Linked DNA regions of Macaca fascicularis. The protein of the gene in region 5 binds, or shares a complex with, the protein of the main gene of each other region. Links are inferred from orthologs where the notes say so. Each region holds a gene or a part of one and is shown on either strand. Other genes may lie near its edges.

Region 1 (3,500 bases), on a different chromosome or scaffold from region 5:
GCTGTACTTCACATTCTCTACTCAGGCCATCTAACTGCCTCCAGAGCTCTCTGAAATACCCCTTGTACATACTGTTACCCCTCCCCTATATCTTCGGTGGCTCTCCGTTATCCATAGTAGCAGTACTCAGCTGTTTTTCTGTCCCAACACATCTGAGGAATGACACATATTTCTCTCAGTAACTTTAGTTTACATAAACAATGATTATCAATGGTCGGACAAATAAGGAGATGGAGGGGATTGAGAATTATTGGCCTGCAGGTTAAAATTGTGTTTATTAGTGTGACATTTAAGTTTCTCCATAAATGGAATGCAGGAATGCAAACTTCTTTTCTTTTTTTTTTTTTTGAGACGGAGTCTCGCTCTGCCGCCCAGGCTGGAGTGCAGTGGCGCGATATCAGCTCACTGCAAGCTCCACCTCCCGGGTTCACGCCATTCTCCTGCCTCAGCCTCCTGAGTAGCTGGGACTACAGGCATCTGCCACCACGCTTGGCTATTTTTTTCTATTTTTAGTAGAGATGGGGTTTCACCGTGTTAGCCAGGATGGTCTCGATCTCCTGACCTCATGATCCACCCGCCTCGGCCTCCCAAAGTGCAGGGATTACAGGCATGAGCCACTGCGCCCGGCCGCAACCTTCTTTTCAAATCATATAGTCCTACAGTGCAATCAGTGTTGGAAGGAGGCAGTGCTGGAGCGAAACACAGTTGGCTAACAAGGTTTCTTGATAGAGAAAAGTTTTACTTAGATCTAAATCTTTATTCCATAAACATGCTGTACCAAACAGAAATTACCATTTCTGCGCCTTTGTTTCTGCTATTTCATCGCCCATGATTCCTTCTTCCCTCTTGACTGTCTAAATACTAACAGTGTTTTCAACCATAGTTTAACTCCTCTTCATGCCTTTTTTTTTTTTTTGAGATAGTGTCTCGCCCTGTCGCCCAGGCTGGAGTGCAGTGGCACTATCTCAGCTCACTGCAACCTATGCCTCCTGGGTTCAGGTGATTCTCCTGCCTCAGCCTCCCAAGTAGCTGGGACTACAGGTGTGCATCACCATGCCCAGCTAATTTTTGTATTTTTAATAGAGCCAGGGTTTCACCATGTTGGCCAGGCTGATCTCGAACTCTTGGCCTCAAGTGATCTGCCCACCTCAGCCACCCAAAATGCTGGGATTACAGGCATGAGCCACCGTGCCTGGCCAAGACCCACATCTCAAAAAAAAAAAAAAAAAGTAAGATTATGTTATCCCCTTTACTGTAAGCCCCTGAAAGTAGAGACCAAACCATATCCTTTTGTTTCCCAGTACTTAACACAGTGTGTTGCAGGTAAAGCGCTATCAATTAATGTTGGAAGGAGGTGGTACTGGAGCCAAAGGCCATTAGCTAGAAAGTTTTCTTGCTTGAAGAAAATGAAGGACTGGATTAGGAAGGAGAGTAGGGCAACCCTTATCAAGAAAGTTGAGAGATTCTGTTCTTCCTGAAGGGTCATTAAGGCTTCCATTGCCAGCCAACCCTCATCTCCCTGTGTCCTTAGGAATCCGGAGATGATGAGTATCAAGGGGACCAGTCAGATACAGAGGACGAAGTGGACTCTGACTTTGATATTGATGAAGGGGATGAACCATCCAGCGATGGAGAAGCAGAAGAGCCAAGAAGGAAGCGCCGAGTAGTCACCAAGGCCTATAAGGTACAGGAGGAGTCCTAGTTTTCTTGGATTTCCTCAATTCCTATTCCCTCTTTCATCAGGTCCCAGTACTCCCTTTGCCACTTCCATTTCTGGCAATGCTAGTTTTCTCTCATTGAGATCCTCATATTTCTCCTTACTTCTTCTGTTCCCTGGTATCTGATTCCAATCTGTCCTCAGGAGCCTCTCAAGAGCTTAAGGCCTCGAAAGGTCAACACCCCGGCTGGTAGCTCTCAAAAGGCCCGAGAAGAGAAGGCACTACTGCCACTAGAACTACAAGATGACGGCTCTGACAGTGAGTAGGGATGTTTGGGTCAATTGGGAAAATTGGAATATGATGATACAATATCATATCAGTGTTAAATTTACTGATGTTGCTGGGTGCAGTGGCTCACGCCTATAATCCCATCACTTTGGGAGGCCAAGGCGGGTGGATCACCTGAGGTCAGGAGTTCGAGACCAGCCTGGCCAAGATGGTGAAATTCCATCTCTACTAAAAATACAAAAATTAGGCAGGTGTGGTGGTGGGCCCCTGTAATCCCAGCTACTTGGGAGGCTTAGGCAGGAGAATTGCTTGAACCTGGGAGGCAGGGGTTACAGTGAGCCAAGACCACACCATTGCACTGCAGCCTGGGCAACAAGAGCAAAACTCCGTCTCAAAAAAAGAAAAAGAAAAAGAAAAAAATTTACTGATGTTGATAACTTACTATGGATAGGAAAATCCTCATTCTTAGGAAATACACACTGAAATATTTAGGGATAAAGGCCATGATGTTTACAACTTTAGTTATCTAATTTAGATCATTCAGAAAAAAACCACACATACAAAATGCAAAAGGGCCAAAATATTACCAATAGGTGATGGGGTAAAAGATACATGAGTATTCATTGTACTATTCTTGCAACTTTGTAGGTTTGAAATTATTTTGAGGCCAGGCATGGTGGCTCACGCCTGTAATCCCAGCATTTTGGGAGGCCGAGGCAGGTGGATCTTGAGGTCAGGAGTTTGAGACCATCCTGGCTAACATGGTGAAACCCCATCTCTACTACAAATACAAAAAATTAGCTGGACATGGTGGCATGTGTCTGTAGTCCCAGCTGCTCGGGAATCTGAGGCAGGAGAATCGTTTGAACCCGGGAGGCAGAGGTTGGAGTGAGCCGAGATTGTGCCACTGCACTCCAACCTGGGCGACAGAGCGAGATTCTATCTCAAAAAAAAAAAAAAAAAAAAAAAAAGAAAGGATTTCTGGCCGGGCGCAGTGGCTCACGCCCATAATGCCAGCACTTTCGGAGGCCAAGGCGGGCAGATCACGAGGTCAGGAGATCGAGACCATCCTGGCTAACACAGTGAAACCCCGTCTCTACTAAAAACACGAAAAAATTAGCCGGGCATGGTGGCGGATGCCTGTAATCCCAGCTACTCGGGAGGCTGAGGCAGGAGAATGGCGTGAACGTGGGAGGCGGAGCTTGCAGTGAGCTGAGATTGTGCCACTGCACTCCAGCCTGGGTGACAGAGCGAGACTCTGTCTCAAAAAAAAAAAGGAAATTATTTCCAAACACAAAATTTAAAAATAAATAAATAAAATAGGTGGACATGGGGGCTGGGCGTGGTGGCTCACGCCTGTAATCCCAGCACTTTGGGAGGCCAAGGCGGGCAGATCACGAGGTCAGGAGATCGAGACCATCCTGGCTAACACGGTGAAACCCCGTCTCTACTAAAAATACAAAAAATTAGCCGGGCGTGGTGGCGGGTGCCTATAGTCCCAGCTACTCAGGAGGCTGAGGCAGGAGAATGGCGTGAACCCGGGAGGCGGAGCTT
Region 2 (4,131 bases), on a different chromosome or scaffold from region 5:
AAAGCAACCAGAAGGAGGAAGGATGGGAAAGAGGAAAGGAAGAAAGGAGGAAAAGAAGGGAGAAAAAGATTGAAAGTACTTGATTTTAGATGCAAGTAATGAAAAAATTAACTAGAAACTAAAAAATTCTAATTCTTATTCAGATCGAAGTAAGGTTCCGCTGAGATTCATCATGATTCATCATTCACGACAGGGAAGTTTCCTGCTTAAGATGAGTGAAAACCTTGAGTAAGAGTATGTAATGGAGAAGGAAAGCAGGGAACACACACACACAGTTTCAACTGCAATCTGAAAAACAGAAAATGAAAAATAAATTATCAACTAATGACAATTTCCCCAGAAAATCGAAGAGCTAAGAAGAGAGGAAAACAACACCTAGTATTTATTGAATGCAAGAGTTTTTAATAAAAACAATGTAAAAAGAAACTGAGTAGGGACGTACTAACTATATCACAGGAAAACCTTCGCTGGGAGACGTCGAAAAGTAGAAAAAGAACGCCCAAGACAACCAACCTCGAATATGGACTATTTACTCAACATAAAGTTACTGCTATTACAGCCTATTCGAGATGAAGGCTCCATCCGTAATTCATGGCTGCTCACTATGATGATGATGATTATTACTATTATTTGTGGGTGCACATTGTATGTATAGATCAATTACATTAGAATGACGATTAGACGGACTGCAAACTACAATATGTAAGTGGCTATTGACACTATTTGTGCATCTTTTAATCTGGGAAATGCATATTCACTCCACAGTCTCAGTATAAACCATTTCAAAATTACACGTAAGCCAACCAGGTGTCTCTCTTATATTTTAGGAGTGAATAATGAGGATAAATTCCAGCAGAGAGTTCTGGTTTAAGTAACCCAAATTCCCCGAACTTTGCTGATTATCCTAGCGTTTAGAACCTTTGCTATTTGCCTGGCACTTCTTGAAACCCATGACTCACAAACGCCGGGGCATGGAATCACAGCAAAGAACAGGTGAAAAGTTGTTCCTAGTTGTGTTATGCAGGCGCACACAACTCCCGCCATTCTCTGTGCAAAAATCAACAAATAAACAGAGGCACCGCATTTCGGATTCTGTTACGCACTGTTTGCAATGGCGCCTGGTATTGGTAGTTTCTACGAGGGGAGCCGCCAGCGCGCCAACCCTTGCTCAGCAGGAAGAAAACTACATTTCCCACAAAGGCACGGGGGCGAACACCGGCCGGCTTACGTCATTCCTTTAACCAACCAATAGCAGTTCCGGGCGGCAGTGAGGCAAGCGCCGTCAGGCGCCAAAGTGGTTTTTTTTTTTTTCTCTTTTTTTTTTTTTTGCCGGAGTCGAGCGGGTGCTGCTAGCGGAGGCGCCATATTGGAAGGGACAAAACTCCGGCGACAGCGAGTGACACAAATAAACCCCTGGACCCCCTTGTTCCCTCAGCTCTAAGGGCCGCGATGTTGTACCTAGAAGACTATCTGGAAAGTGAGTGCGCGGCGCTGGCGGCGGCCGCCGGTGGGACCTGCGGGAGGGCAAGAGCGCGAGTGGACGGGCAGCGAGATGGCGGGAGGGAGGGGGCGGCGGGGGATGTTTCTCTCTCACGGTAACTGGCAGCCTCGTTGTGGGCTGCCGGCCCCCTCGACCCCCCTGACGCACGCGCGCAGTGACGTAAGCGCGTATTTCGCCGTTGGCCCCGCCCCTCTGACGGACTCTCCCTTTGACAGTGATTGAGCAGCTTCCTATGGATCTGCGGGACCGCTTCACGGAAATGCGCGAGATGGACCTGCAGGTGCAGAGTAAGTCGGCGCGTCTGCTCTTCATGTTGGCTGCGCGCGTTCAGTGCCAGACTTGCTTTTCATCACTGCTAGCGCCTAATGCTCTTTCACTGTCCTCTGGCTCACTCCGCTAGTGCATAAGGAGTTGTCAAAAAGAACTGGCAGCCCTGAATCTCGCCTTTTCTTTCCCTCCCATGCTACTTTTTTCTGGCTTTTGCAAGAGGAGGCGGCATTGGGACAGGTGTATTCCTTTCTAGAATGTAGGATTGTGCAAAAAATATTTCTCTACCGTCATTGAGATAGTTATCTATGTTTCAATGCACGTCAGCATAATAAATGTTGAGATGTTGTCTTGAGCCTTTTCGTATCGAACTTAGATTTCAGCATTTATACTTATTTTAAAGTTCATCCTATTCAGTTTTTCAAGAGTGGAGAGCATAGAAGCACAGGTTATATATAGCTCTTTAGAGACCCTGGCGAATGTCAAATTTTGAAAACTTAGTTACACATTATAAGATACATTTTAAATTGTAACAGAATCGTCATTTTCTTGGTTAAAATGAGTGACAGAAATTAGATTTCACTGTAAAGTTTCATATGTGCTGTACTAAAAATTTTAGCAGTTAGTGAACATTTATTTTTCTTTCAGTGATAGCTTGGTAGTCTCTGTGACTTTTTCCCCAAATTAACTTTACTCTTTCGTAGAGCAAGGACTATAAATAGGTGGCTTAGGGACCACTTGCTGCAGCTAAGAACCTGTCCTTTTCACTGCCCCTGTCTTCTCTGCCCGTGACCACACACCCACTTCTATACCCTTTGTTTATGCGTATATGTTTCCAGTAAGTTTCAGGTGGCACATAATAAAAAGTGGTGGCATGGAAGCCACCTTCTGTTCAGTGGATTGTGGTATGAAGTATGAATTGTGTGTGTGGTTCTCCAGCTATCTCACAAATTCATTTTAATTTTAGTGTAGTCGAAATGCTAAAGATTTGCTGAAGTATTTTCTGCAGGACTGAGCATAGACATGGATGTCAGATAGATCTGAGTTTGTTTTAGGGCTTTACTAATTTACTCATTGACTCTGACTGTATTACCACTTGTGTGGGGCTTTCATTGTCTGTAAAAAGAGAATCATCTAAGGATTTAAAATATTACAGATGGATTAGAATTTATAGTATCTGATACAAAGTAGGCATTAAATAAAGGGTAACTTATTTTAAATTTATTTTTATATTTTGTTTAAAATTTTAAATTCTCATAATTTGGGCTTACAGTATACATATTACAGGGTTTTTAAACGTGCATTTCTTTACAGTAACGAATTTTCTGAAGTTAATAGATATTATGGATTAACAGAACAGTGTGCCAAATAAATTCAGAAATGCTTATTTAAACAAAGGAAGATACTGAAAATTAACCATAGTACTTCACAGAGTCTTTAAAAGGCTATTGTGGACTGAAAATCTCCAAAAGAAGTATGCTATGAAAAGATTTTTCTCAACTTACGTAACAACAGAATCCTTTTTATTAATTTTTCCTTTTTTTTAAGCAGACATCCAATGAGATGATTAGTCTTAGCACTTAATTTGGGGAAAATTTATCTAGAATTAATGTTTAAATGATTGCACCTACTACTTTCAGTTGGGATATGACATGATGAGATGTTTAATGCCTTATACCAAATCTTTTTATCACTTTTTCTTGTTGAAAGAAATGTGAGGATTATCTAATGGTGTTTTCATTGTGTTTTGGTACATTTGTCTGATTAACACCTATAGCTTTTGACCCCAAGGCTGTATTGCTCAAAAATTATAGGATAGAGCCGATCTACTTTGTTGACTCTACTTTGGCTATTGGAAAAAATTTTGAAATAACAAAAACAAAAATAATCTGTCAATAAGGAAAATTGTAACTTTTTAAAGGAAGGTAATTGAGGCTTTATATATTTACATAATCAAAGCATAACATATTTAAGTTACTGGCAAAGTGAAAGAGTATATATTGTCAGATTTTTTTCCCTCCCTAAATCAAACCATGTATATTTAGTATATGAATTTGGTCATTTAATATGATTTTTTTATTATGTCATAGATGCAATGGATCAACTAGAACAAAGAGTCAGTGAATTCTTTATGAACGCAAAGAAAAATAAACCTGAATGGAGAGAAGAACAAATGGCATCCATCAAAAAAGTATGTGCGACACTTTGGATAATTTATCAAGAAATATTGGGACCCTCTGAAAAAGATATTTCAAAATTAAATAGTGATCTGGATATCAAAATAAGGGAATATTATCAATGACTCTTTAGAATGTAAATAATTTAGTGTGGTTTAGAGCTTCAGATAGCGATTTTTAGTCATT
Region 3 (4,221 bases), on a different chromosome or scaffold from region 5:
TCAAGTGTATGTGTTTGTGTGTGGTCTAGAACATTAATTGAATTCATGAGAAGCCTTAATTGTGAGTTGTGTTTTAGGCTGTGTGCCAGGCACTTAGGTTAAAATGGTAAACAATCAAATGTGGTCTACACCCTCAAAAGGCCTGCAGTTTACTGGGAGAGACAAACATTGACCCAGTAATTATGCAAATCACTAGAAGCCTAGATTCAAAAGAAAAGAAAAAAAATATAGAAACCTAGATTCAAAACTTAGAATCAAGATGTACAAGGAAGTGTGATTTCAGGTCTGTCTCAATTCTAATATAAACTCTCCTGCACTCTGGGCAAGTCCTTCCCTTCCTCTGGATGTTAGTATCTTCTTCTGTAAAAATGGTGTCATACCATTTGCTTCTGAGGAAATCTCGCCCATTTGTCAGAATTCAGCCAAGGCAACATCACCTTCATGGTGCTTTCCCTGGCTCTCCAGGCTGTTCCTGGGGCTTCTGCTCTGGTCTTCTTGCCACCTGGGTGTACCTGTCTCACCACATCTCATGTTACAAGTTTTCTAAGCAAGGAGTAAGCTCATCAAGACTTTTATCCCTGTATCCCCAGTGCATTGTGGTGTCTGGCTCGTGTTTGTTAAATGGATGGATGGATGGATGGATGGCAAGTACAATTGTGGTGCAGGTTGTGCGAATATCATTATGAAACCTGAAGGGACAATTTGCTGGCTGATTGTCTCAGCTGAAATAATGGGACAGTATGAGCATTATTATATAGGTTTTGAAGCCTGAAGATTTCTAGTTCTGATTCTTTGTGGTGCTTTCTTGGGCGGATGGGCCTCTTTCTGCTTGTCTGTAGCTGCATTCGTAATTACACTACCTTACAGGGCTGTAGAGTTTTGAAAACTGCAAAATGTTATTTACAGTCAACTGAACTGAACTTAGCAGGAACCTTATCTCTCGGCGGAGGATGGAGATTAGAAGCAGGGGAAGACAATTCCACGGAAGGAGTGGTGGGTTGCGCTGGGCCTTTCCAGACGAGATGCAAAGGTCTGGGAGTCAGAAAACATTGGTTAGTAACCAATTGCAGTTTAAGCTCTGAACCTCAGTTCTTCTATTTCCAAAACGGAAATAATAACTTGAGCTTCGCGTAAGAGTATGACGTTCAAACGTGATAATGGATAGGACGGAAGGATTAGGAGTGGTACCCGGGGGCCACTACCTCGTGCAACGCCCCAGCCCGAAATCAAATCCGGGGCGTGGTCCCACTGTGCTACCGACCCCAGCCTGGGCAGGAAGCGCCGGCTGCGGGGGAAGCCAACCCAGAGACACAGCCGGAAGTGAGTGACTGGAGCTCCAGCAGCAGCCGCGATGGGCGCAGCCGTGAGCCTATGGAGAGCGGAGGCGTTCCCGCTTCCACCAATGGAAGGCCAACCTAGGCGGGCCTTTGCAAATTGCCCTAGTAACGGCCGCATGGTAACTCGGGCGCTGGGCGCACTGTCCTATCTGCTGGTTTTCCACGCTGGTTTTAGCTCCCGGCGTCCGCAAAATGAAAATTGAGGAGGTGAAGAGCACCACGAAAACGCAGCGCATCGCTTCCCACAGCCACGTGAAAGGGCTGGGGCTGGACGAGAGCGGCTTGGCCAAGCAGGCGGCCTCAGGGCTCGTGGGCCAGGAGAACGCGCGAGAGGTGTGGCCAGCGGACCAGGGAGTTGGGGGCTCCGAGCAGGGCTGCTGCGGCGAGAGAGCTGCTGAAGTCGGTGGCTCGGGTCGGGATGCGCGCGCCAGGGGTCTCCCGCCATAGTTGCCTCAGGGAAGTGAAAATAGGCCAGGGGCTCGGGGAGGGGCGCCGCCCTGGAGCTGGGTGAGGGGCCGCCCCAGGAAAACTAGTGACCACCCACTGGGGCCAGTTGACGGTTTGCTTCAACTCATGGACAAGTACTAATGGAAACCCACACAACCCCGTCCCCTTAATCCATGCTGAGCTCTATTCGCGACACTTATTTCCCGGGATACAGCGGGAGATAAGATAGGAGGTTACATTTTAGTGTAGTGAGAGACGATAAACGTGTACATCAATAAACAAAAATGATTATCTTGGTGGGGTTAGTTACTGCAGAACTTTGTCGGCCACGGTAAGGAAATTGGATTTTATTGTGAACGCACTGGCAGGCCGTGGGACGGTTTAAAGTAGGGAATTGACTAAACTTTAAAAGCTCGTTTTGGTTCCCAGGACCCGGGAGCTGAGGGAGAGAAGTGGGAATTAGGGAGAAGAGCAATCTGGTTTATTTATCCCTCCAAGCATCCTTTTTGACCATTCCAATTAAATCTCCTTTTTCTGAGTGCTAGTGATGCCAAGTACTTTCACATACATTATTGGTTTTTGGCAGGTGAAAATATTGAGTTGGGGAGAGGGCACTTCACCATATACTTGACACTCGTTTTAGTAATGGTAAAGCGGGGATTTGCGCTCACATGTATTTCTGACTCCCAAATCAGTGCTCTATGATGACATAGCCACTCTCTCTGCCTGCTGTTGTCTGAGGTCACAGCCATGCCCCTTGGCCTTTGCAGAGCCTTAGCTTGTACAAAAATCTTCACTTAATACAAAGTTAAGCTACTGCCTCTTAGCCTGATTTTTCTAAATAGAAAGGGCTCAAAAGAAAAACCTCGGGTTTCCATTTTGAGCATCATCTTTCCAAAAAGGAAGTGTTTGACCCTGTCTTACTAAGCAGCTATTACTGCAAGTAGCTAACATTGGTTGAGTGCTTTCCATGTGCCAAGCACTGTGCTAAGTAGCTGTGTGTCCATTGCCTTGTCATATCCAACGAATTAGTTGTCCCTTCCCTGCGTTAGTATGACAGTTTTCAGACATACAAAAAAAGTTGAAAGACTTGTATAGTAAGTACCTGTGTACCTAAATTCTATGATTAACATTTTACTATGCTGCTTTATCATATATCTTTCCATGTGTGCCTCTCCCAATCCACTTTTACATTTCAAGGTGAATTGCAGGCATCACTACACTTCACCCCTACACCCTTTAACATGTGTGCCATTGACTAGTATGAACTCTGTTCAAGTGAGGAAATTCTGGTTCATAGAGGTCAAGTAAGTAGGTCCAAGGTTACTCATCTGGTAAGTGGGAGAGTATTTTAACTCAAGTCTATGTATTTAATCCCAGAGTCCATGCTCTTAACTGATGTTGTATGCTTAAGACCCACCTCAGCTACCAGGTTCTTGTGTGATTCTGGTCACATCAGTAACCTGAAAAATGAGAGTTAGACTAGGTGATCATTTAAAGACCCTTCCAATTCTTTTTAAATGTTAGAATTCAAGCTTATCTCACCTGAGAGAAGTTGGAGTGGAAACTGAGGGAGAATAGATGGAAGAGGTCCTGGTCTGTAAATAAAAGCACATATCCAAGGTTTGTAAAGTCTCTTCTACCTTGAGTTTTCCAAAGAGCTTCAGTGCTGAGGATTATATGACAAGGTTGTATGGAAAGATCATAGTAGGTTTTTTTGTTTTTGTTTTTGTTTTTGTTTGAGATGAAGTTTCGCTCTTGTTGCCCAGGCTGGAGTGCAATGGTGCGATCTCGGCTCACTGCCACCTCTGCCTCCCGGGTTCAAGTGATTCTCCTGCTTCAGCCTCGTGAGTAGCCATGATTACAGGCGCCCACCACCATGCTCGGCTAATTTTTGTATATTTAGTAGAGACAGGGTTTCACCTTGTTGACCAGGCTGGTCTTGAACTCCTGACCTCAGGTGATCCACCCGCCTCGGCCTCCAAAAGTGCTGGGATTACAGGCATGAGCCACCGCGCCTGGCTAGGCTTTTTATCTGTTTAGAAATATAGCATCTGGGCTGGGCGCAGTGGCTCACACCTGTAATCCCAGCACTTTGGGAGGCCAAGGCAAGTGGATCACCTGAGGTCAGGAGTTCGAGACCAGCCTGGCCATCATAACAAAATCCTGTCTCTACTAAAAATACAAAAATTAGCCAGGTATGGTGGCATGTGCCTGTAGTCTGAGCTACTCGTGAGGCTGAGGCAGGAGACTCACTTGATCCTGGGAGGCGGAGGTTGCAGTGAGCTGAGATTGCGCCATTGCACTGCAGCCTGGGTGACAGTGAGACTCCATCTGAAAAAGTAGCATCTGAAGAATATCTTCTAGGTTCTATTAAGGGCAGTGTGCTTTGGTAACTGAAGTGGAAATGGGATGGATATAGCATACACACACATAT
Region 4 (4,219 bases), on a different chromosome or scaffold from region 5:
ATCCTCACTATACAGCAAACTTAGCTTTTCTGATGGTGACCTAGAAGGTCAAACAAAAGGACAGGAAAGGACATAAAATAAAAAGATATGAGATATGGCTTTCTTCTACATCAGCCAATGCAATTTCATCACACACAAAGGACACCAAAGCTGATAAATAATGTACAAGTATTTCTTTTTCCTTTCTTGTGGCTACATTTTCAAATTTAACTTATTGTATATTTATATAACTTCTGACAATTTTTTTAACTTTTCCTTAAAGATAATTTCAAATGGATGAAATAAAAGAATAGTATTACAAACCTACACGAATCCATCATCCAGCTTTCAACAATTACCAACTGAAGGCCATCTTGTTTCATCTATAACCCCACCCACTGCTCCCCCCCACCCCCGACTTTTTCAAGCTCACGGGAATATCTGACTTCTGTATTTTATTATACAAAAATTTAAACGTATACCAAGGAAAGCAGATTAATATACGGAACCCACTGCCTATCACTCAGCAAAAACTATTATTAATTTAGGGTCAATTTTGTTTCATCTATACCCCTCCCCATTTCCCCCTACCGCTTAGATTATTTTGAAGCAAATCCTAGTCATTAATGTATTTAGAAGCCAATCCCAGACATTATATTATTTAATCCGTAAATATTTTCGTATATGTCTCTACAAAAAAGGACAATTTGAAAACATAATCACAATACTACTGTGACGCCTAAAAAAATTGACATCAATTCCTTAAAAAACATCAAATATCGAATCCATGTTCCAATTTTCCCGATGCGTCTTAAACATATTTTTACAGTTGGTGTGTTCGATTCAGGATCCAAACAAGGCCTACTCATCGCATGTGGTTCATCTCCAGCTCGCTCTCGTTCTCCATCTCTTTCTTTCTCGCACTCCACCCCCCCACCTTTTATTTAACTTTTCAACATGGGAAAATTACAATCTCTGCAATTTTGAGGCAATTCCCAAAGAGCAAATTATTTCATTGGTAAAAATTGATATATCTCTTTTATCTTTAATTTATTCTAGGAAAGAAGTTGATGGCAGAAAGGGCACTACAATTAGCGAATTTATATAATTTATAATTTTTCTCATTCTATTACGTGTATTATTTATCTCCATAACAATAGCTAATATCTTCAGGGGCCAGGCTTCATATTACGTGCCTTATACGCACCATTATACAGTACACGTCTCTGAGGTAGATACTATTATTATCACCATTTTACAAACATGGAAACCGAGACACAGAAAGAACAGGAGCCTTGCCCAAGCTGGGCGTTGGCGAGCAGGAATCTGAATCCAGCTCTGACCGATTGTGAAGGAACTAGCTAATCCCGTCTATACCCGACGAAAAGAGGAAATCATCGACCCTTTCTCCCCACCCCCACCCCGAAACCTGAAACGAGAATCCAGATCTTCCCAGCAGACGACGTGTGATCACTGCCGTTCCTCCAACCGCCATAGTAAAGCCAGGTTTCTCTGGCAACTGATATCCATAGGCAGACACGTCACCCTGGAGGAGGGCGTATGCCCTTCAGCCAATCACAATCGTCTTGTCTAAGTTTTAGAATGTTCCATAACCAAATGATTGGACAACCACCCCCACGTCAGCAATGACACTTCGCCGCAGTAAAGGCGGGTGCTAGCAACCTGCTTCTTCACTGTTAAGGCCTACAGCAAACCAATCCTCTTCCTCCGTCAGTGCGCGTTCCGGCCAATGACGTTCGCCCTCTTAGGTTTTTAGCCCGCCCTCCAAAAGCGTGACAGCCGTTGGGTCATAAGTCTATAGGGCAGAATGTTCACGTGGCCTATTTCACGACCCAGAGTTCCTCTGACCAGAAGGTTTTTTTTTTTTTCCTTTTCCTTTTTTTTTTTTTTTTAATTTTTTTCCTGCAGGGAGGCATTATGGGTTTGTGTTTCCCCCCAGCCCCCCACTGGGAGAGGAAGTGTCTACGTGGCCTGCGGAAATAGGCGGAAATGAGCTAAGGTTCCCGCGAGTGGGGAAGCGCGAGGTCAAATCTGGAGCCACGCCCCCAGGCCTGTGGCGCAACTCCCCGAACATGGAAAAAAAAGGCGCAGTGGGGGGTTCTGCTGTGTTTGCGAGTTAGGGTCGTGAGTGCAACGGGCGCAAGGCATTAAGGCCAGTGTGTTAGTGCGCGGGCAGGCTCGAGTGCCCCTGGGGTTGCTGTGTGAGCGGCCCTCGTGGCGCTGGAGGTGATGTGTTTGCGCAGGCGTGCGCCCCTGGCGTCTGGACTGGTGAGAGCCACGGCGCGCGCCCGCGTGCGTGATTGGGGTGGGAGTTGCGGGGAGGGGTTAGCTACTGCGCGCAGGTTATCTATTTCTGTATTTTGTTTGAAAATGTTCTAATGAAAAGGAAAATAAATAATTAAGGCAAGGCGACAATAACAGAGATAAAGGGGCACTGTCAGAAATATTTTGGCTTTCCCTGATTTAAATACTCCTCTGTGCCAAAATCCGGTCGTAAACCACAGCCCTCCAATGATTCAGAGCCAAAGCCTTCCATCGTCACATTAGCAACTCCAAAGGGAGACTTCTTTCAAGTTGTCTAGTATCCTCCTCCCTCCCCTCTTCCACACCTCCCCCCTCCCTTCAAGGTTGCGTGCAGTTCTCTTGGCACAAATACAATTTTCCTATGAGAATATCTATCTATGACAGCCTTCCCCTCCGTTAGAGACTCCGGATTTTTATGGTGACTAGGGCGCTCTTACCTTTGCGTTCTGATCTCCAAGCAAGCACACTGACCTTCTTCAGGCAAATACGCACTGTTAATTTTCCAGAAAGTTCTGTGGGTAAGGTTTATACCTCTCGAGTTCGCCACTAGATGCCGCCAAATCCCAGCAAAGGATTGGCTGTGTGGTCCCTGGGATTCTGGGATTTTGTTTCCCTCCCCCCTCCCCTTTCTTGATTTGCTGAACGCTAATATCTAAGGCATCATTGATATCGTTCATTCCTAGGAAAAAATAAAATCAGCTTCTGTGAATAGCACTAGTAGGCAGGGAACTGTGACCCAAGATCCAAATAATTTTACTCATTTCTTTCCTTTTCTCCTTGGGTGGGGGGGCGGGGGGGAAGGCCCCTCTCCATCCCTCGCTTCTTTTGTCCTTGCCTTGTTTAATCAAAGAGTTAATGAATGACCCAAGCACTGATGCTGAAGATCCTAACCCTTTTTCCTCAACTTTTCAAATGCTCGCAACTCACCCAAACTGAAAATACAGATAGCTGTTACTTTAGTAAAGAGATAAGAACTCATCAGTAAAACTTGGACCCTGGTATTGAAAACTGATTTTCCAAGGCCGGGCGCGGTGGCTCAAGCCTGTAATCCCAGCACTTTGGGAGGCCGAGGCGGGCGGATCACAAGGTCAGGAGATCGAGACCACAGTGAAACCCCGTCTCTACTAAAAATACAAAAAAATTAGCCGGGCGCGGTGGCGGGCGCCTGTAGTCCTAGCTACTCAGGAGGCTGAGGCAGGAGAATGGCGTGAACCCGGGAGGCGGAGCTTGCAGTGAGCCGAGATCGCGCCACTGCACTCCAGCCTGGGCAACAGCGTGAGACTCCGTCTCAAAAAAAAAAAAAAAGAAAACTGATTTTCCTTTTCTCTTGAAATTTGTATCAGATATGTGTGTTTGCACCCTATTTTCTGTAGTGGTATTGGTAGATTTTATTGTGTCTTTGGAGTGAGAGAAAGAGACTTAATTGTTAACCTCATTCCACCACTTACTAGTCTCAGTACCCTGGGCAAATGATTTATGTTCTGTGATCCTCAGTTTTTTGTATGCTTTCTATATTTTAGATGCTGTGTTATATCCTTCATGTCGATTTTTTTTTAAATTTATCACCAAGTCCTTATTAGATGAGCAGTACTAGATCAAAGTCAAACAACAAAAATCATACCCCTTTCAATTATCTATCTTATATACTTGTACACAAGAGGGATTTTTTTAGAGCAGTGGTTCACAAGATGTGTTTCCTGGATGTACCAGAAACATCAGCATCACCTGAAAAATTGTCAGAAATTCACATTCTCAGGTCCCACCTCAAACTTAATGAATCAGAAGTTCGCACGGTGGGGTTTGGTAATCTGTGTTATTACAAACTATCCCAGTGATTCCAGCACACACTGAAGTTTGAGAACCACTGCTTTGGAGAGTAGAAATGCAATGCATATTTTTGTATACACCACTAGAG
Region 5 (3,500 bases):
ACTTTGAGGAAACTGAAAACAAGGGAATACATGAACTGGTGGACATCAGGGAGCCCAGTGCAGAGATCAAGGTGGAACCTGCAGAACCAGAATCAGTCATTTCAGGGGCTGAAATAGTAGCTGGAGTTGTTCCAGCCACAAGTATGGAGCCACCAGAACTCAGGAGTCAGGACTTAGATGAGGAACCGGGAAGTACTGCAACTGGAGAGATTGTTGAAGCAGATGTTGCCATTGGGAAAGGCGATGAGACTCCACTTACAAATGTGAAGACAGAGGTACTTAATAAAGATCAGGGGCTGGGGAGATGGAGGGTTATACCTTAAGTAAGAAGTGATAGCTTAGGTTTTTTGGTTTTCCAGTTGCATTCCTGAGTTCTGACATGTTTGATGGTCCAAAGCCCATAGGCTGTGATTAGTGTTATATATACTTATTCCTGTTAAGGTGACCATTGGAGTCACATTACATGAATAGGACTTAGAATTTCTTCTATGGTCTCATTATCATTGAAGAATAAAGTTGTGTGAGCTATAGTGATTTACCAGTACTTAGGGTGTTTTTTCTTTTCTGGTTTTCAGGCATCCCCTGAAAGCATGTTGTCTCCATCACATGGCTCAAATCCCATTGAAGATCCTTTAGAAGCAGAGACTCAGCACAAGTTCGAAATGTCAGGTAAATAAAGTCCTCTTTAACTAACTTGAAATCATTTGCTTTGGCTTCTGAGGGATTGTGGGTTGTGGGCAAGTAGAGGAGGTAGAACAGGTCAGCATGGAAAGGAGAGCTGCAGGGGATTATGGTCCATAGGAAGGGGAAGGCTAAGGTGGAAAAATCTTCAGGTAGTCTTTCTCTCCTCTGCAGACTCATTGAAAGAAGAATCAGGGACTATTTTTGGAAGCCAGATAAAGGTATTTCAGACTTTTCTTTATTCCTCTTGCCATGTGATTAGATTTCCCTATAGCACTACTTTTTAATGAATTTCAGTAAAGTCGCATTTTTATTCTCTGATAAGAGACTGGTATGGAGTTGCGTGGGGAAAAGCTGCAGTAGACAGGCATAATGGGAGTACTGTAGCAACAGGTGCCTCCCATATGAAACAGCTTGTGAATATCACAGTCCTTAAGAAGCCTTGATACACTTAGAGTGATTTGGAGTGAATAAGGATACCAGAACTAAGGAGAACATACAGGAATCCAGTTTATTAATTAGACTATCCAAAGAAAATCATCCAAAGTTTTCTTTTTAGAATTATTAAAGCAGTAGTAACAGAGACTTAAAGAATGCGATGTGAGCTTGCTCCATCAGATGAGACACAAAATAAAAATTATTTTTGATAACTTTGTATCCAGGGTCAGAGTTACTCTTGAACAAGGGGAAAGAAGGAACGCCTCTTAGCTTAGTCTTAAGTAAGTAGCTTTTTTTTTCTTTCTTTTTAAAAGATCCTGGGTATTATTCTTTGTCCAGGTTCTAAATTACTTAAGTCAGTGTCTTTAAGTAGATGGTAGTATAAGTGATAGACAGCTAAGTCAGGAAACAGCGTGAGGTCATTTCTAGAACTAATTCTAACCCAAAAGACAGAGCATGTTTAATGATGCTTTGCTGGATAGCTTTGCTTGCATTTATTGACTGGAGCATACTGTGTCTAAGGATGCCCCAGGTGAGGATGAGGAGGAAGATGGTGTCAGTGAAGCGGCCAGCCTAGAGGAGCCTAAGGAAGAGGATCAAGGAGAAGGTTATTTGTCAGAAATGGATAATGAACCTCCTGTGAGCGAGAGTGATGATGGCTTCAGCATACACAATGCTACACTGCAGTCACACACGCTGGCAGACTCCATCCCCAGCAGCCCTGCTTCTTCACAGTTGTGAGTATCTGAGATTCTTCCTTTGAGGCTAAGGCAGTGAAGGTGAGAAGGAGAGGATCTTTTCTTCCCCTCCCCTCCCCTCCCCTCCCCTCCCCTCCCCTCCCCTCCCCTCCCCTCCCCTCCTCTCTTCTCTCCTTCTTTCTTTCTTTCCTTCCTTCCTTTGTTGTTCTCACTCACCCATGCTGGAGGGCAGTGGCGCGATCTCAGCTCACTGCAACCTCCACTTCTCAGGCCCAAGCAATCCTTTCACCTCAGCCTCCTTAGTAGCTGGGACTACTGGCCTGCACCACCACACCCTACTAATTAAAAAAATTTTTTTTAGTAGAGACCAAGTTTTGCCATTTTACCCAGGCTGTTCTCAAACTCCTGAGCTCAACAGTTGCCTCGGCCTCCCAAAGTGCTGAGATTACAGGCATGAGCCACCATACGTGGTCTTTTTCTTTATTTTTAAATTTTTGTTTTTAAAAGATGTTCTTTTAAGAGACAGAATCTCCCTATGTGGTCCAGTCTGGTCTTGAACTCCTGACCTCAAGCAGTCTTCTTGCCTTGACATCCCAAAGCACTAGAATTAGAGGCATGAGCCACAATGCCTGGCCTGATCTTTTCTTTAGTGTTTCCCTTTTTTGGCCTGGAATAAACAGTTGACAAAAATTATTAGGGCTGGGCATGGTGGCTCACACCTGTAATCCCAACACTTTAGGAGGCTAAGGCAGGAGGATCGCTGGAACCCAGGACTTCGAGACCAGCCTGGGCAACACAGTGAGACCCTATCTCTACAAAAAAATTAAAAAATTAGCTGGGCATGGTGGTATGCACCTACAGTCCCAGCTACTTGGGAGGCTGAGGTGAGAGGATTGAGTCTGGGAGGTTGAGGGTGCAGTGAACATGATCACGCCACTGCACTCCAGCCTGGGGGACAGAGTGAGACCCTGTCTCTAAAAAAAAGAGATAATTTTTTATATATATATATATATTTTTTAACTTGTGCCTAGTGAAATTGCTGTATCTCTGTTTCAGCTCTGTCTGTAGCGAGGATCAGGAAGCTATTCAGGCACAGAAAATTTGGAAGAAAGCCATCATGCTTGTATGGAGAGCTGCAGCTAATCATAGGTGAGTGGGCTTTATCAGTCAGTAGGTTCATTTTCTCTTACTCTTCATTGTTGGTGACTGGAAAAAAGTCTGAGTAGGCTTCTGTGGAACTGCTGGTATTGGTTCTTACTATCTTCAGCTACTTAGAGTAAGTTCTCTCCCTGTTCTTCTGGAGAATGTCAGTAATTGCACCTTATTCCTTTTGGACAGGTATGCCAATGTCTTCCTGCAGCCTGTTACAGATGACATAGCACCTGGCTACCACAGCATTGTGCAGAGGTGAGCCATGATCCACTCAGCATGGTAACTTGCCTGAATTATAAGTTGTCCAGTCTTAGTGAAAGTTTTGCTTTAGATAGAAAGTTTAAAGCAAGTAAATTTATGGTTTTGCTATAAGGGGCACTAAGTACTAAACTGATGATTCCAGTGGCTGGATCACCACTGATAGTCTAAAAGAATAAATCCTCACCGGGAGTGGTGGCTCACGCCTGTAATCCCAGCACTTTGAGGGTGCTGAGGTGGGTGAATCACTTGAGCCCAGGAATTCAAAACTAG
Region 6 (3,062 bases), on a different chromosome or scaffold from region 5:
CTACCGTGATTCTCAACCATGGCTGTGCAGCCCGGTCTCTAGGGGAGCCAGCCAGAAATAACAGTGGCACTCTCCCAGAGTTCTTTCCATTCAGGCTGACTGCCCTGCTTATCTGGGGTAGGTTCTCAGCCCCACAGTTTGCTCCTTGGCCAGGGTTCTAAGTGCCACTCAGCTTTCCCCAAATCTGACTTACATGCTCCTGCCTGGGGCCATGGGCATGTTAGTGAGCCGCTGGTGCTCATGTATCTGGTAACCGGTGTCCCATGATACAAGTCCTTGGGCAAGGACCAGTGGTTAATGTCCCCAGTTGTCCCCTGAGCCGTGCAGGCAGGTGTCCAAAATGCTGTCAACAGATACACGTAAGCATGGAATTCTCCCTTGCTCCTCGTGTCCAGTGAGGTCAGTCTCTTAAAGCCAGAAGGGACTCTGACCTTCATCACACATGAGCTCTTCAGTGCCCTCCCCAACCCTGAGGCTCCTTCTCCTCCTCAGCCTCTTCCCCATCACCCCGCATTCTATCTCACCACTCACTTGGAATAACTAAGCTCTGACCTGAGAAAAGAAGAGGAAGTTCTAGCTGTTTGTCTGGTGAAGACACAGAGGCTTTACTTGATCAAGGTTATGGTCCATTCGAGAAATTTATTGGTTAAGTGATGCCCAGATGGGGTCACATCCTCAGAACTTCTCAGCCTGGTAGCACAAGTGGATGCTTGAAGAAACTCAGTCTTGGAGCTCAGACTGCAATGGAGATGGGATGTGGGTGGGACTACCAAGGGGCTAAGGTCCATTGTGAGGGTGAGGAAGGGCTTCTAGAAGTCACAAACATCCCAGGTCCCTGGTGGGGAGAATGAAGACACTGCCCAAGAGATGTGAAGCCACTGAGGGCTGTGCAGGGTCAGGATCTCACTGGGGACTGCCTCCCAGTGCGCAGCTATCAGCAGGAGTTGGAGGGAAACAGCCATGGTGGGGGTCAGTCACCTGGCTCTCAGGAATGGTCTCCCCAACTTGGGAAGCACTTTGGTGCACCTTTTCTCCTTGCATCCTCACAACCACCCAGTCAGGCCACTCAGGTCTTAACAGCAGCTGACACTCCCAAGATCCCAGCTAGGAGGACTGATTTGACTGAGAATTCAAGCATTCTCAGGCCTGGATTAGAGACAGGAATCTGTCCCCACTTCCTTCCTTACATGCCCAGACATGGAGCCTGGGATGGCAAAGGAAAATTGGAGGCACTTTCTTCCCCTGAGCCATTTTCCCTGCATCCCCTGCCCATAAGCCTTCACTGGCCTCTGATCACCCTCGTGGTTGACTGCAGCTGCTCCTCTCAGTGCTCTCATGCCCTCCACTGTGCTCAACTCCCAGGGGAAGAGTGAATACTCGTTAGTTCTTCCTGAGGGAACTGAGGCGCAGAGAGGCGGAGGCCACAGAACTGCCAAGTGGCAGGGCCATGATGGGAACTAGGCAGCCTGCCTTGGCGACCTGTGTTTTTCAATGTTGCTTATGTTCATCTATGACCTCTTACTCACCCTCTCCTGCTCCATTGCTTTAGGCTATGAACTCTCCAAAGTGGAAGGGAAAACAGGGACCCCTGAGAAGCCCCTCTCAGACCTGGGCCTCCTATCCTATCGAAGCTACTGGTCCCAGACCATCCTGGAGATCCTGATGGGGCTGAAGTCAGAGAGCGGGGAGAGGCCACAGATCACCATCAAGTGAGCCTGGCGCTGCCTACCTGGGGGTACATGGCATGGCCTGTCTGTTCCTGGGCTTTCTCACTCTCTCCTGGGGCTCCTGGGGACAGATGAAGGTCCTCAGGGGACCTGACCTTTGCTCTCCTACAGTGAGATCAGTGAAATCACCAGCATCAAGAAGGAGGATGTCATCTCCACTCTGCAGTACCTCAATCTCATCAACTACTACAAGGTAGGGAGGCAGGCAGGGTGGAGACAGGTGTGTGGGATGCAGAGTGCAGGCCCCTGTGCACTGGCCACTTGCTGAACCCATCTCCTCTGCCCAGGGCCAGTACATCCTCACACTGTCAGAGGACATCGTGGATGGCCATGAGCGGGCTATGCTCAAGCGGCTCCTGCGGATCGACTCCAAGTGTCTGCACTTCACTCCCAAGGACTGGAGCAAGAGGGGGAAGTGGTGACCAGGCACTGCCCACTGCAGTGCTAAGACAGCAGGACTGGGGCTGATAGCCCACCCCGCCCTCACTGCAGCTCCCACAAAGCACTCTAAGGGAGATGGGGCTGAAAAGCTCGAAAAGGAAGGGACAGGCCTGGCAGGGCCCATTGGTGCCCGGCACCAAGGCGAGCTCAGGGCTCAGGCTAACTCCAAGGTCAGCTGGCCACAGGCCCAGGCCTGCTCTGAACCAGGGACCAGAGGGAGCCAGGCAGCTGTGTACAGTGAGATGGGGGGTGGGGGAGCTCTGTACAGAGGGCTGGTGGTTGTAAAAATTTCTTTTGTAAAGTAGAAGTTGGGGGTGGGGTGGGTGCTGGCTGCAAAAAATTCTGGCTTCTCTTATCCCCATTGCCCACGGCAATAAATTGTTTCTATATGCCAGAGCCATGCAAGGTTCTTGGGGGAGAGGGGTCCATGCTGGCTTAGGGGCTCTAAGGTGCCCGGACTCACAGGTGCTGTAAAGAGCTCCTTTATTGGGGTGATGGAATCAGTGGTTCCAAAGAGCTGGTTTACTGCTGTGAAGGGATCGCAGCTTTGAATTTCAAGCTCTGGTTCTCAGTCCTCGGGCACCTGTGCGTGAATCTGCAAGAGGAGTCGCCTCTACTGTTGGACTTGTAAGGCAGGGCGGCAGGCTGGCCCCCAGACCCGGGGAAGGACCCAGCTGTTCAGAATAACCCCTTCTAGACATGGCTAGGAAGAGTGGTCGGGGAGCTACGCTTCCCACGCACTACCCAGTAGAATCCTCCAGGCTTCGTCTGCCCAATTGTGCTCCACAGCCCATCCACCCGGGGACAAGACGGAACTCCTCATCTACTCACCGCTGCCGCAAGACTGGGCCAAGTTAGGGCCCCACGCACTTTGGCATCCGGGCCAGGGATGGT
Region 7 (3,500 bases), on a different chromosome or scaffold from region 5:
GGCCTGGATGTGAGAACCAATAACACCCTCTGGGCTGTTCCCAGAGGAGCTTTCTAACATTTCCTCATAAAGGGTAAGGAGGTTTTTTTGAGTTATGATGGTATTTATCAACCAAAGAGAAGGGGTTTTAAACTGAAAAAATGATTAAAGAGTTTCTTCTCTTTGTAGGTTTTTTTTTTTGAGATAGAGTCTCGATCTGTTGCCCAAGGTGGAGTGCAAGGGTGCGGCCTTGGCTCACTGCAACCTCTGCCGCCCGGGTTCAAGTGATTCTCCTGTCTCAGCCTCCCAAGCAGCTGGGATTACAGGTGCCCACCATCACGCCTGGCTGAGTTTTGTGTTTTTAGTAGGGACAGGGTTTCACTGTGTTGGCCAGGCTTATTTTGAACTCCTAACCTCAAGTGATCCACCTGCCTCAGCTTTCCAAAGTGCTGGGATGACAGGCGTGAGCCCCTGCGCCTGGCGCTCTTTGTAGGTTTTAGGGCAGCTCACTCGAATCTTTTCCTGGTAGCTCAGGTACCCCCTCCTTGCATAAATATATTCTCTGATGTTGAGAGTCCTCCTTATCAGGGTCAGAAACAGTTTTCACATGGGAACTTCTTCAACGTTTGTTTCTTATGTATCAGTGATTTGAAGCAGGCATTGAACTTTAGTCCAAGTTTAAATTGAAAGAATGGCCAGGCGAGGTGGCTCATCCCTGTAATCCTAGCACTTTGGGAGGCCGAGGGGGAGGATCACCTGAGGTCAGGAGTTCAGGACCAGCCTGGCCAACATGGCGAAACCCTGTTTCTACTAAAAATACAAAAAAATTAGTCGGGAGTGGTGACATGCACCTGTAATCCCAGCTACTTGAGAGGCTGAGACAGGAGAATTGCTTGGACCCAGGAGTTGGAGGTTGCAGTGAGCCGAGATGGTGCCATTGCACTCCAGCCTGGGTAACAGAGCAAGACTCCATCTCAAAAAAAAAAAGAAGGAAAAAAAAGGAAAAAAGAAATTTAAAAGATTATAGTGATGACTTTAGATTGTATATCAGTTTTGGGGGGAAATGAAAAGGATCTGTGTAAGGGGATTGCTGGGGTTTTTGTTGTGTTGTGTTTTGTTTTAACTGATGGGCAATCAAACTGGAGATTGGTGGTTTTAATAGTTACATTTTCAGAGTGTCAAGACCCAGGTCTCTACCTAAACAGATTACAAACTAAAGAATCATTAATTAATGTTTTCCCTCTTACAGGTGACAGAGTTAGTCCTTGATAATTGCCTGTGTGTAAATGGGGAAATTGAAGGCCTGAATGATACTTTCAAAGAACTAGAATTTCTGAGTATGGCTAATGTGGAACTAAGTTCACTGGCCCGGCTTCCCAGCTTAAATAAACTTCGAAAAGTAAGTTGGCATTTACGTGAAGCATCATGATTTAAATGTCATGGCTATTATGTCTAGTGTTTGGCCAAATGGAATACCATTCTGCTTGCTAATTAGAAGTTTTTAAGTTTCTAGAGATAAGAAAAAGTTATATAGGATTTTGAGAATCAGCTCTAATACTGCTTTTATAAATTTATTTACTTACTTATTTTTAAGACAGGGTCTTACTCTGTCACCCAGGCTGGAGTGCCGTGGTGTGATCTTGGCTCATTGCAACCTCTGCCTCTGGGGCTCAAGCATTCTCCCACTTCAGCCTCCCAAGTAGCTGAGGCTACAGGCATGCGCCACCACACCTGGCTAATTTTTGTATTTTTTACAGAGACAGGGTTTCACCATGTTGTCCAGACTGATTTCAAATTCCTGGGCTCCAGGCATCCTCCTGCCTCAGCTTCCCACAGTGCTGGGATTAGAGGAGTTAGCCTCTGTGCCTGGCCTAGAAATTTAAATCTAATAGTGGAATTGCCTTATAATATGAATTTGTATTTAATATATACCAAATATTTTTCTCTACATCATGAAATCCAAATGTAGTACAACTAGAATCCAAGCTGGGTTAAGAGCCCATTATGTAGGTGTTCTAATACATTATTTGGCAGATGTAGAAAGGAATTTGGAAATTAATGATCTGTAGTGATAGTTTCTTGAAGCCAGAGAGAATGACAGGTTTTTTTTTCTTCAAATTGATATACTTTAAAAATCTTTGATATACTTTAAAAATCTTTGATATGCCAGGTGTGGTGGCTCACGCCTGTAATCCCAGCACTTTAGGAGGCTGACGCGGGTGGATCACCTGAGGTCAGGAGTTCGAGACCAGCCTGGCCAACATGGTGAAACCCCATCTCTACTAAAAATACAAAAACTAGCTGGGTGTGGTGGCGGGTGCCTGTAATCCCAGCTGCTTGGGAGGCTGAGGCAGGAGAATTTGCTTGAACCCAGGAGGCGGAGGTTACAGTGAGTGGAGATTGTACCACTGCACTCCAGCCTGAGTAACAGAGTGATACTTCGTTTCAAAAAAAAAAAAGCTTTGATATGATACCTTTACCATTCTTTGTTTTCTTCCTATGTTGAATGTATAGTTGGAGCTTAGTGATAACATAATTTCTGGAGGCTTGGAAGTCCTGGCAGAGAAATGTCCAAATCTTACCTACCTCAATCTGAGTGGAAACAAAATAAAAGATCTCAGTACAGTAGAAGCTCTGGTAAGTGGAACGGTTTTGTCTCTGGACTTGCTTTTTTTGGTTAAATTTTCTGAGATTTGTTTGTGTCTATTAATTTCTATTTAACTCAAAACTTACGAATTTTTTGTATGTTATGACCTAGGCAGTTACTGATTTCGTTTCCTTTTTTTTTTTTTTTTTTGAGGCGGAGTCTCGCTCTGTCGCCCAGGCTGGAGTGCAGTGGCGCGATCTCGGCTCACTGCAAGCTCCGCCTCCCGGGTTCCCGCCATTCTCCTGCCTCAGCCTCCCGAGTAGCTGGGACTACAGGCGCCGCCACCACGCCCGGCTAATTTTTTTTGTATTTTTAGTGGAGACGGGGTTTCATTGTGTTAGCCAGGATGGTCTCGATCTCCTGACCTCGTGATCCGCCCGTCTCGGCCTCCCAAAGTGCTGGGATTACAGGCTTGAGCCACCGCGCCCGGCCTTGATTTCGTTTCTTTTAGACTAAAATATTCAGATGAAATTTTAAATCAATGAGAAATTTATTTTATCATCAACTTCAGGAGTTGACTGTCTGGTTTTAAAATTTCCAGGTTTTTTTTTTTTAACCTTTTATTCTTTTTCCTTTCTTCTTGATTATTTTTTGAGTCATTTTATTATTTGCCCCCTTTCCTGGTATGAGGGAAGGAAAAGAAAAAGTGACACGAGGTAGGAGAATCGCTTGAACCCGGGAGGGGGAGGTTGCGGTGAGCCAAGATTGCACCATTGCACTCCAGCCTGGGCAACAAGAGCGAAACTCTGTCTAAAAAAAAAAAAAGAAAAAGAAAAAGAAAAGAAAAAGTGACATGCTGAAAATTATTGCTCTGATTTTGAAAAAAGATTGGAGACTGGGCACAGTGGTTTATGTCTGTAATCCCAGCACTTTG

The links.
Region 1: BRD8 (region 5) and VPS72 share a complex: the UniProt entries of both Homo sapiens proteins name them as parts of the nuA4-related complex. The link is inferred for Macaca fascicularis from reciprocal best matches to the Homo sapiens genes BRD8 and VPS72.
Region 2: BRD8 (region 5) and ING3 share a complex: the UniProt entries of both Homo sapiens proteins name them as parts of the SWR1-like complex. The link is inferred for Macaca fascicularis from reciprocal best matches to the Homo sapiens genes BRD8 and ING3.
Region 3: BRD8 (region 5) and RUVBL1 share a complex: the UniProt entries of both Homo sapiens proteins name them as parts of the nuA4-related complex. The link is inferred for Macaca fascicularis from reciprocal best matches to the Homo sapiens genes BRD8 and RUVBL1.
Region 4: BRD8 (region 5) and MORF4L2 share a complex: the UniProt entries of both Homo sapiens proteins name them as parts of the nuA4 histone acetyltransferase complex. The link is inferred for Macaca fascicularis from reciprocal best matches to the Homo sapiens genes BRD8 and MORF4L2.
Region 6: BRD8 (region 5) and KAT5 share a complex: the UniProt entries of both Homo sapiens proteins name them as parts of the SWR1-like complex. The link is inferred for Macaca fascicularis from reciprocal best matches to the Homo sapiens genes BRD8 and KAT5.
Region 7: BRD8 (region 5) and ANP32E share a complex: the UniProt entries of both Homo sapiens proteins name them as parts of the SWR1-like complex. The link is inferred for Macaca fascicularis from reciprocal best matches to the Homo sapiens genes BRD8 and ANP32E.

Annotation. Positions count from the first base shown.
Region 1 is NC_088375.1:110,032,689-110,036,188, forward strand, and holds part of VPS72 (vacuolar protein sorting-associated protein 72 homolog), read left to right. Parts: intron 1-1,531; coding exon 1,532-1,684; intron 1,685-1,861; coding exon 1,862-1,976; intron 1,977-3,500. UniProt on the Homo sapiens protein: Deposition-and-exchange histone chaperone specific for H2AZ1, specifically chaperones H2AZ1 and deposits it into nucleosomes.
Region 2 is NC_088377.1:162,563,519-162,567,649, forward strand, and holds the start of ING3 (inhibitor of growth protein 3), read left to right. Parts: upstream 1-1,331; 5' UTR 1,332-1,449; coding exon 1,450-1,477; intron 1,478-1,716; coding exon 1,717-1,788; intron 1,789-3,858; coding exon 3,859-3,959; intron 3,960-4,131. UniProt on the Homo sapiens protein: Component of the NuA4 histone acetyltransferase (HAT) complex which is involved in transcriptional activation of select genes principally by acetylation of nucleosomal histones H4 and H2A.
Region 3 is NC_088376.1:155,323,096-155,327,316, forward strand, and holds the start of RUVBL1 (ruvB-like 1), read left to right. Parts: upstream 1-1,421; 5' UTR 1,422-1,529; coding exon 1,530-1,670; intron 1,671-4,221. UniProt on the Homo sapiens protein: Possesses single-stranded DNA-stimulated ATPase and ATP-dependent DNA helicase (3' to 5') activity; hexamerization is thought to be critical for ATP hydrolysis and adjacent subunits in the ring-like structure contribute to the ATPase activity.
Region 4 is NC_088395.1:110,058,189-110,062,407, forward strand, and holds the start of MORF4L2 (mortality factor 4-like protein 2), read right to left. Parts: upstream 2,801-4,219; 5' UTR 2,742-2,800; intron 2,269-2,741; exon of another isoform or gene 2,254-2,268; intron 1,478-2,253; exon of another isoform or gene 1,409-1,477; intron 41-1,408; 5' UTR 1-40. UniProt on the Homo sapiens protein: Component of the NuA4 histone acetyltransferase complex which is involved in transcriptional activation of select genes principally by acetylation of nucleosomal histone H4 and H2A.
Region 5 is NC_088380.1:144,652,194-144,655,693, reverse strand, and holds part of BRD8 (bromodomain-containing protein 8), read left to right. Parts: coding exon 1-275; intron 276-575; coding exon 576-669; intron 670-855; coding exon 856-902; intron 903-1,641; coding exon 1,642-1,856; intron 1,857-2,873; coding exon 2,874-2,966; intron 2,967-3,155; coding exon 3,156-3,224; intron 3,225-3,500. UniProt on the Homo sapiens protein: May act as a coactivator during transcriptional activation by hormone-activated nuclear receptors (NR). Isoform 2 stimulates transcriptional activation by AR/DHTR, ESR1/NR3A1, RXRA/NR2B1 and THRB/ERBA2.
Region 6 is NC_088388.1:8,650,866-8,653,927, reverse strand, and holds the end of KAT5 (histone acetyltransferase KAT5), read left to right. Parts: intron 1-619; exon of another isoform or gene 620-720; coding exon of another isoform or gene 721-738; exon of another isoform or gene 739-1,549; coding exon 1,550-1,709; exon of another isoform or gene 1,710-1,838; coding exon 1,839-1,920; exon of another isoform or gene 1,921-2,014; coding exon 2,015-2,149; 3' UTR 2,150-2,562; downstream 2,563-3,062. Other genes in the region: RNASEH2C (ribonuclease H2 subunit C), read right to left, coding at 3,000-3,062. UniProt on the Homo sapiens protein: Catalytic subunit of the NuA4 histone acetyltransferase complex, a multiprotein complex involved in transcriptional activation of select genes principally by acetylation of nucleosomal histones H2A and H4.
Region 7 is NC_088375.1:111,032,109-111,035,608, forward strand, and holds part of ANP32E (acidic leucine-rich nuclear phosphoprotein 32 family member E), read left to right. Parts: intron 1-1,228; coding exon 1,229-1,378; intron 1,379-2,493; coding exon 2,494-2,616; intron 2,617-3,500. UniProt on the Homo sapiens protein: Histone chaperone that specifically mediates the genome-wide removal of histone H2A.Z/H2AZ1 from the nucleosome: removes H2A.Z/H2AZ1 from its normal sites of deposition, especially from enhancer and insulator regions.